2 linked regions of the Xenopus tropicalis genome follow. The protein of the gene in region 1 purifies or fractionates together with the protein of each later gene. This does not show direct contact. Links are inferred from orthologs where the notes say so. Each region holds a gene or a part of one and is shown on either strand. Other genes may lie near its edges.

Region 1 (4,213 bases):
AATCTGAAATAAAATGTAATCTCATTTGCGCAGGGCCTCTTTACCTGTTATATCCATGATCAGTTGTTTTAGCAGTGTTTTTTTATTCAGTATTTCTATTGTATACACCCATTTATTACACAGAACGGCAGAATATGCTGGATCTTAATAAATACTTGTTAAAGGAAATCATTACCCACAAACAATGTAGGTCTCTATAATATATATTGCATAAAACAGCTCAGATGTAAAGCTCTGCTTCAACTAAATGAACCATTTTTACAAATATATACTTTTGTACATGCTTCTAGGTAATCGTAAATAGAAAACTGCCATTTAGAGTTCTAAGGGCCACCCCCTTAGATCATATGATTCATGGTGCACACAAACAAGGCAAATATGGGCCAACTGATTTAAAAATGTTTTATCAATGTTATTATGAAAAAAATACAAATGTCAATTTTTCAATTATTACATACCGTTGGGATCATCAGGAATGATAATAGGAGGAGCAATATCTGGAAGTTCCTCTTCTCCTGATTTGAGCCCTGTAGCTCTGAGATGGTTGATGTCAAGAAGATCTGGCATGTCTATACTCACATCTATTTAAAAGGAAAGAAGGACCTTTACATCCATTTAATTTATCCTCTTTGACCTAAGAGCAATGGCACATGGGGCGATATTTCAGAATCTCTGAAAAGCAACAGCAGTTTTGGCTATTGCAACACCATATTTTCAGGGAGAATAAAACAAAGTAGGCAAACACCCAAAAAGGGCCACTAGTCTAACATTTCATTAATAACCCAACATCTCTTATGTCATCACAGATAGAATATATAGAATGGGAATTAACCTTATCATGTCTATTATGATATAACTTTGCTCATTATTACACTGAGGAGCAGAACAATTACATTTGTAATTTTGTGAATTTTCTACCATGAAAAAAAGCCATGATTTAAAAAGCACAAATGTTGGCTTATTTATCTGCCAGACTGGATCCCAGCCAGATCTCCCCCCACCGACGCACTGAAAGTAAGCTCAATTTACACACGCTCAGGGAAGTGGGTCCAGCAATTAGAGGGGACCCCTGCAGGGGGTGTGGGGGGCCACGGCAGGGTGAGCCCTGCACCACACCAATCTGACCCTGCCAAAACCTTGAAATCCTTGTTTAAGAATTTTTGTGCATTTACAAAAGAAAAAAAACAAAAAGACCTCAAAAACCACACATTAAATACTGTTATAATTTTCCTAAGACATTGACTTCTGAATGCCCTCGACAGCTTTTAGATGGCATATGTTTGTAATAATGTTTTTATGGTTTTTACACTTGGAATATTTTACTAATTGCTCAAACACTTTTTTCATAATTTATCATTTTTAGCACTAAAAAATACAATTTGAAAAAAAGAAAAAACATAAATGTTAGTAAATCTTGCCCTGAGTACTTAATTACTCACCAAGTTTCTTGGGTACCCAATCAAGGCCAAATGTAAACTTCTTTATCTGGACTACCAGGTATTCAGGGAATGAAGCAAAGCGAGATGTCCTAAAAAACAAACACTTAAAATATTGGTAAAGAAATGAGATTACACCTGATCATACATATAATTTTCTCTATAAAATAAACACAAATGCAACTCTATTGATTTAGTGTGAATCAGATTTTTAAGGAACGGCCACCTATTGTGTTTGCCTGTGTCACTACTGCTTGCACTTAACTGCCCCAGTTGCCACCAACTAGCTAATCAGAGAGATCGTATAGATGCCACTCTTTAAGTAGCCCAGTCTATACTCTCAGCATGTTAAGAGTACCCAGGTAAATGTTCTTTCCCCTTTCTCCAAAGTAAATTTCTAGTCTAGATGTACAGGTGCACGTGCATGTGTGGGATTTGGTACAATGCTTGGAACTCTATAAATACAGTATGGTTCACCAATCTGGCACTGGCTGAGGACAATAGAATGGTTGCTCAGGTAATTAAAAATAATAATGTGAAACTATCCAAATGTATAAAGTACCTACTTTTTAAAGGGCAGGGAGCAAAGATATCTTTATAAGATGATTTTAATAATAACACACTTGCACATGAGAAACCCTGCACTCCAAACAGAAACTGCTGTTTCTCTGGCACAATCTAAATATAGAATTGGGCAAGGGAGAAGAAATCGTTTGCTGACACTCAGCACCCTCTCTCTTCTAGGAAACAGCTGACAGCAAATCGTTGGCCTTCAGGCAGGGAATTATTTACAAAGGAAGGAGCACATGTCTTACCTAATGGATATGAAAACTTCAAGGAATTGTGAGAATAATTCAAAGAAAGTCACGATGAAAGAATGGTATCATACGATTAATTTACTGGTATCATACCAATATGAAAGAGTCAGGTGAAATATTTACTAGTACAGGTATAGGACCCATTATCCAGAATGCTTGGGACCAAGGGTATTCCGGATAAGGGGTCTTAGTAAGTCTTAGTAAGTCTACTAAAAAATTAATAAAACATTAATTAACCCAATAGGATTGTTTTGCATCCAATAAGGATTATTTATATCTTAGTTGGGATCAATTACTAGGTACTGTTTTATTTCTACAGAGAAAAAGGAAATCAGTTTTTCTGGATAATGGGTTTCCGGATAAGGGATCCCATACCTGTAATCATTTATAACCTTAACATTTAACAATACTGCTGCATTTATGGTACAAATTATGTCATGCACACCATAATTATGCACAAAGGATAATAAATGGGTAAATGTGGCATTGTGCATGTAAAAACTCAAAATGATTTAACTCTAAAACCAGCATTGATAACTTAGATTCAGTTGAGTCAAGCCTAAGAATCATATGCAGTGGTTCTGTTGGATAGCTAAATAGTGGATAGATCAGCTTTTACTATTAGAGACTATTAGAGATGCCACTCGTTAGAAAAAGATAAAAAAGCATGACATACTTAACACCCGCAGACTTGGCTTGAAGAGCACTGCTCCAGAAGTCAGGCACATTTTCAGGCTCTGTAAAGGCCTGTAAGCAGGCACTGAATGGGATCTTGGCACGGACCAGCTCCGGTGGAGGCCTCTTTGCACTCTCTGCTTCTCTTCTTTTCAGGTCATATGCAATCAGTTCCTCTGTTAAAAGGTAACAAGTCAGATGGCTGCATATTTGTACGAGAAATTTGTTACCAAACTTCCGCATCATATATTCAGCAATATTTCAACATCAAAACTTGCTAAATAACAAAAATAAGAGAAAACAATGGGGCATTTTCAGTTTTCTAAATTATTATTAACTCCAGCTTCCAAACCAAAGTTTGTTAAAGACCACCACACTACACAGAAACCTCTAATATATCACTGTCATCTGTTGCTTTAAAATGTAAGAATAAATACCATTTTTGTATGCTGAAATCAAGCTGCAAAACAGTTTTTTTCTAAAACATTGATGTTACAAATTGTAACAACTTCTCCAGTTTACAGACAGCATGCAGGGACTATTTTACCATTCCTTTCCTTATTGACATCACATGTGGAGGGAATTGTGGGATTTGGAGGATGCAGGCTGAAGGCAGGCTGAGGACAGTCAACTATTGTTACATTTTATTTGAGTCTAAAAGTATTCAGCCAGATGAGCATTAGAACAGGGGGACATTATGTATTTTTTGAGCTGTAATATTGGTGCGTAGGCTCCACATCAATGCATTGTGCCTGATCCTGAGCTTTGAGAAAGAGCCAGCGCTACACACTGAAACTGCTTTCAGATAACCTATAGTTTCTCCTACTCCCATGTAACTGGAGGAGTCCCAAGCCGGACTTAGATTTCTTACTATTGAGTGCTATTCTGATATCTATTGGGAGCTGCTATCTTGCTACCTTCCCATTGTTCTGCTGATCGGCTGCTGGGAGGGGGCTGATATCACTCCAACTTACAGCTCAGCAGTAAAGTGTGACTGAAGTTTATCAGAGCACAGGTCACATGGCTGTGGCACCCTGGGAAATAAAGAATATGTCCAGCCCCATATGAAATGTCAAAATTAAATATAAAAAAAATCTGAGTAGGGAGCGTAACAACAGTCTTGAATATTCTGCATTTGTACACAATCTCTCTGATGGTTGATTGGTGGAATCCAAGCTCTTTAGAGATAGTCTTGTAACCTTTTCCAGCTTTATGGGCATCAACAACAATTTTTCTAAGGTCCTCAGACACCTTCTTTGTCTCAGAATATTACTCTCTACAGCA
Region 2 (4,213 bases), on another chromosome or scaffold:
ACTCTGGTCCCCTCGGAGGCAATACAGGTTGAGAGCAAGCCATTCAAAGAGAGACTGGTTACACATCTCAAGAAGCCGCTGTCCGAATGTGGAATCTGCAGGGAAAAGGCATTAATAAACTAGAATTCTAAAAAAAAAAAAAAAAAAAAAAAAAACTTATGTTCCTGTATGGAGTTTAGTTACTACTCACAACTGTAACACACAGACTAATCTACACTAACCATAATCAGGTTTGAAGCCTGCTTGCAGCCCCACCTCTTTACAATTAAATGACCAGATTATGGCAGGTCTTCAGAAACAGTGCTATCACTATATAGTTCCTGAGAGTCATGCAACAAGAAAACAAAATAATGTTCACCATAAAAGCACAACTAAAAAGCTAAAAGACAGTCGACTAAAAAAAAAAAAAACCCAAAAAACAAACTACAAAATCATATCTAGATGGTACAAATGCCCGGCCACTTTACACACCATGTTCCCAAACGTATCAGACAAGTGTTGGCGATGCAATATTCAGCGAGGTGATATGAAACATATATGGTGGGACTGTCCCAACCTACAACCATTCTGGACCCATGTATTCCAAACCATCTCTAAAGTGCTATGCCTTGACCTCCAACCCGACCCAGCCCTAGCACTACTCTCTAAACCCCCTACCAACAAACAAATTTCTATTAAGCAAAAGGGTCTCCTTGCCTTTTCATTAACGGCAGCTAGAACAGTTATACCCAGACTCTGGAAGAATACCAAACCCCCAACGATTGGAGACTGGGCGATTGAGCTCAACCATATTATGAGAATGGAAGAAATGTTAGCACATACCACCAAATCACGTGAAAACTTCACTAAAGTCTGGACAACTTGGATTCTATACAAAGAATCTCCAGAATATGGTCAATTACAACCAAACAACCAGCAACCCAATCCAGACCCAGGTCTAAGCCCTTGGAAACCCTGTAAAAATATGAGCAAAATCAATATCCTGGTATGCCACAACACAATATAATACACATACCTCTGCCAGAACATAAGACTATACCAAAAGTACAGGTACAAGTTATCACTGCATTGCTCTGCTCTACCCAACTTTTACCCCCCTTTCTCTTAGGGTAAAACATAACAGAAAACAAATAACTACCCTCTACTGTATATGGTCTCAAGTACAGTAAATTATTAAAAAAAAAAAAAAAAAAACACGCAATGACGTAACTATACAAACTGTGATAACTGTAACAGACCATTGATACCCCTACCCCCTCTTTTCCCACTTTGTATGTTATCCTTTTTCTTTGTAAATATTTGAAAAATGAAAAAAAAGAATATAAAAAAAAAAACAAAAAACTTTATTTCAGTGGACCTTAGTAAGTTACTATATATGAGGGACAACAAATTTGCTGGCATATGGGCTCTGGTTGAGGCCTCACGATACCATTGTTTATAGTTGCTGAGTGCATCATCTGTTTTATATGAAGGGAGATAGACAGTTCCCAAGTAACCAAATAAAGGTTTAGAGCAAGACTTTAAATGTGGATCCTTTTCCACATAGATACCTGCACAATGTAGGATGTGTGTTGTGATCCTGTTGAACTGATCCTGTAGAAATTCAAGGTTTGTTCTTGTGATATCAACATCATCACGCACAGTAACGGAGGCCTGGTAGACATGACACGGGGACAAGATTAGCGATATAACCACTAAAACAGTCAGTGTAAAATATAAAGGACAAAAAAATTCTTACAAAGCTTTCTCTTATGTACTCTTCCAGGCCATTAGTAAGATTTCTTGATGCCATCTGAAAGAGGCAGAAAAAAGATGTCTTGCTTATGGGATATAAGATAATATATATTAAAAGTTAGCATTATCACTGGGTGCTAAGAAAGAATCTAACTTCTGTGCAGAGATCATACTCAAAGGAATAAAGGATCAGCATTTTACTCCCCAAGTGAGATACACACCCACATTATAGCTGCAGAAAGGAACACATAGTGACATACCTGGATGTTATTAGGTGTGGGATCTGCCTGGTGTAGATACTCCTGAAGAAAGAAGGATCTCAGTTGAGGCTGCAGATTCTGCAAAGGCTGGGAATGACCATGCAGTAACATTACCATATCGACCAGGGAGAAATTGTGACAAATCAAGGTGAGTAAGTCACCAAAAAATCCTGGAACAAATGAGGCAGGAAACAAGTTAAAGGCCAAATTTTAGAGAAAGAATTCTAAAAAGAAAAAAGCTGGAGTAAATGGAAGAAACAATTGAAGGGGTGTAGAGAAAGAAAAAAAGACATATACAAAACGAGAAAGGGGCAAAAGGAAAATGCCATAGGGAAGTTTCCTACCACCAGGTCCCTCTGCATCAGGCTGGAAAATGTTGTGGGAGCCACTGAGCCTCTGAATGAAAGCTGCAATGCTTTCTGTTCCACTCTGATCAGCTGCACTCAAAGACCCCAGCATGGATGAAAGGACACCCTGAACAACACTAGTGAAAAACTCTGGAGGAAGAGACTCTGGTGCGGCAGCTGGAGGGGGAGAGGAATGGGCAGGAGGTGGTGAGGGTGATGAAGGAGGAGGAGCCTGAGAAGCAGACTGGGGAGGAGAAGTAGAAACAGGAACAGTCTGTGTAGCCTAAGAAATCAAAAAGAGAAGGATAAAGTTAGATTGTGTTTACTGATAGAAACTCATTGTATTTTCCCTTGTATAACCTATTCCTATTTTACTGCCTTGTGGTATCTACACATCTCTGTATTCCAAAGTCTTATTTTTTTGCTTTTTTAACAAAACACCAAAAACAAAGACAGCAGAAAAAACAGACAGTTGAGGACAAACATTATTATAGTCTTGCTTTACAGGAAGGCAAACACAAGCATCACAACTCACTGGTGAGGTTAGCTACCTCTTTCTAATTCTAAATACAAGTTCCATTTTATTTACCACCAAGGCATTTCCAAAACATTTTAAAAACTAGCCTACAAACCACTGACACCAGCTTCCCCACAGAGAAATGCGTAATTTGTATCTACAATGTAATTAACAAAGCTGGCTGTATGACCATTATTTACTAAATATACAAAAATGTTAGAGATGTTTTGTGACTTATAACGTATTTAAATATTTTTGTGTTACTGTTCCTTTAAGGACTGGAAAAGCATACGTATGCAACTGCATTGCACATGCACACTGAACACCACAATAGGTACCTGTAATATATCTGTGACACCCTGTAAAAAGGCCGGCATTCCAGGCACGGTAACAGTAATACTCGGCGAACCCATAGCGAAGTTTGACATCCCTGAGCCGGCAGTTCCCAGTAAAGAGCCCAGGAGCTGAGAGAGGTGTTGATCAGTGCCAGGTGGGGGCTGGGGAGAGGGACCTGATGAAACAGTGGGGAAGGATGTGGAAGAGGTGGTTGTTGTAGAGGTAGTGACAGTGGAGGATGAAGAGGAGCTGGAGGAGGATGTAGAAGTTGGGGTTGACGTAGAAGAGGGGGTGTTGCTGCCACCCTGAGCTGTGAAAAGAGAAGAATAACTGACAAATCAGCAAGAGAGAAAAATAAACAAAAAACAATCATTAGTAAACAAATGAAAGGCACTCAGCATTTACTTCAGTCTTGATTCTCTAACCTCAGCTTGTCCTGACTATAAAAATGACCAATGCAGTAAAATAACCACTTACACATAGACAGCTTGTTATAGAATCAGCATAGACAATTATTAATTTAGTGTTCAGTTACTTAAACCCGGCCTACCCAGTATTAATTACCTGTACAGGCTTATACATAAACTAATATCTTTTAAAAATAGGGAATGAGAATCTCCCAACCAAAAGTGTCCAAATTAGTTCTATTTCAGTATTATTGCAATATCTGCAAATACACAATGTCTTTTACAAAACCTTATGTTAAAAGAGAGAAAAAAAACAAGAAAGGAGAAGCAGGCAGATAGAAATTAGGTCAGGAAACAAGACATAACATTGGCCTTCTCACCAACAATAACTGGGTGCATCAGAAGCTGTCCAACAAGACCGCTGATCATCTGAGCCAAGGAGGCATTTCCTGCTGGACCCACCTGGAGACAGATGTAGGAGAAAGAAAGCTACAGGTTACAATGTCAAATTAAAATCTTAAGAAAAGAGAGTGCCAATAAATACAGGGTAAAGTGGGTGATGGGTTGCAGCCAACCAGAAATGATCTCAAATGACCAGTAACATCAGGAAAT

The links.
Region 2: the proteins of usp13 (region 1) and bag6 purify together in Homo sapiens (affinity purification with western blotting; 3 studies listed by BioGRID and IntAct, with this or other methods). This does not show direct contact. The link is inferred for Xenopus tropicalis from reciprocal best matches to the Homo sapiens genes USP13 and BAG6.

What each region holds. Positions count from the first base shown.
Region 1 is NC_030681.2:108,713,031-108,717,243, forward strand, and holds part of usp13 (ubiquitin carboxyl-terminal hydrolase 13), read right to left. Parts: intron 3,106-4,213; coding exon 2,931-3,105; intron 1,529-2,930; coding exon 1,440-1,528; intron 582-1,439; coding exon 459-581; intron 1-458. UniProt on the Homo sapiens protein: Deubiquitinase that mediates deubiquitination of target proteins such as BECN1, MITF, SKP2 and USP10 and is involved in various processes such as autophagy, endoplasmic reticulum-associated degradation (ERAD), cell cycle progression or DNA damage response.
Region 2 is NC_030684.2:74,272,609-74,276,821, reverse strand, and holds part of bag6 (large proline-rich protein bag6), read right to left. Parts: intron 4,064-4,213; coding exon 3,982-4,063; intron 3,505-3,981; coding exon 3,197-3,504; intron 2,625-3,196; coding exon 2,339-2,624; intron 2,165-2,338; coding exon 1,995-2,164; intron 1,793-1,994; coding exon 1,739-1,792; intron 1,654-1,738; coding exon 1,551-1,653; intron 96-1,550; coding exon 1-95. UniProt on the Homo sapiens protein: ATP-independent molecular chaperone preventing the aggregation of misfolded and hydrophobic patches-containing proteins.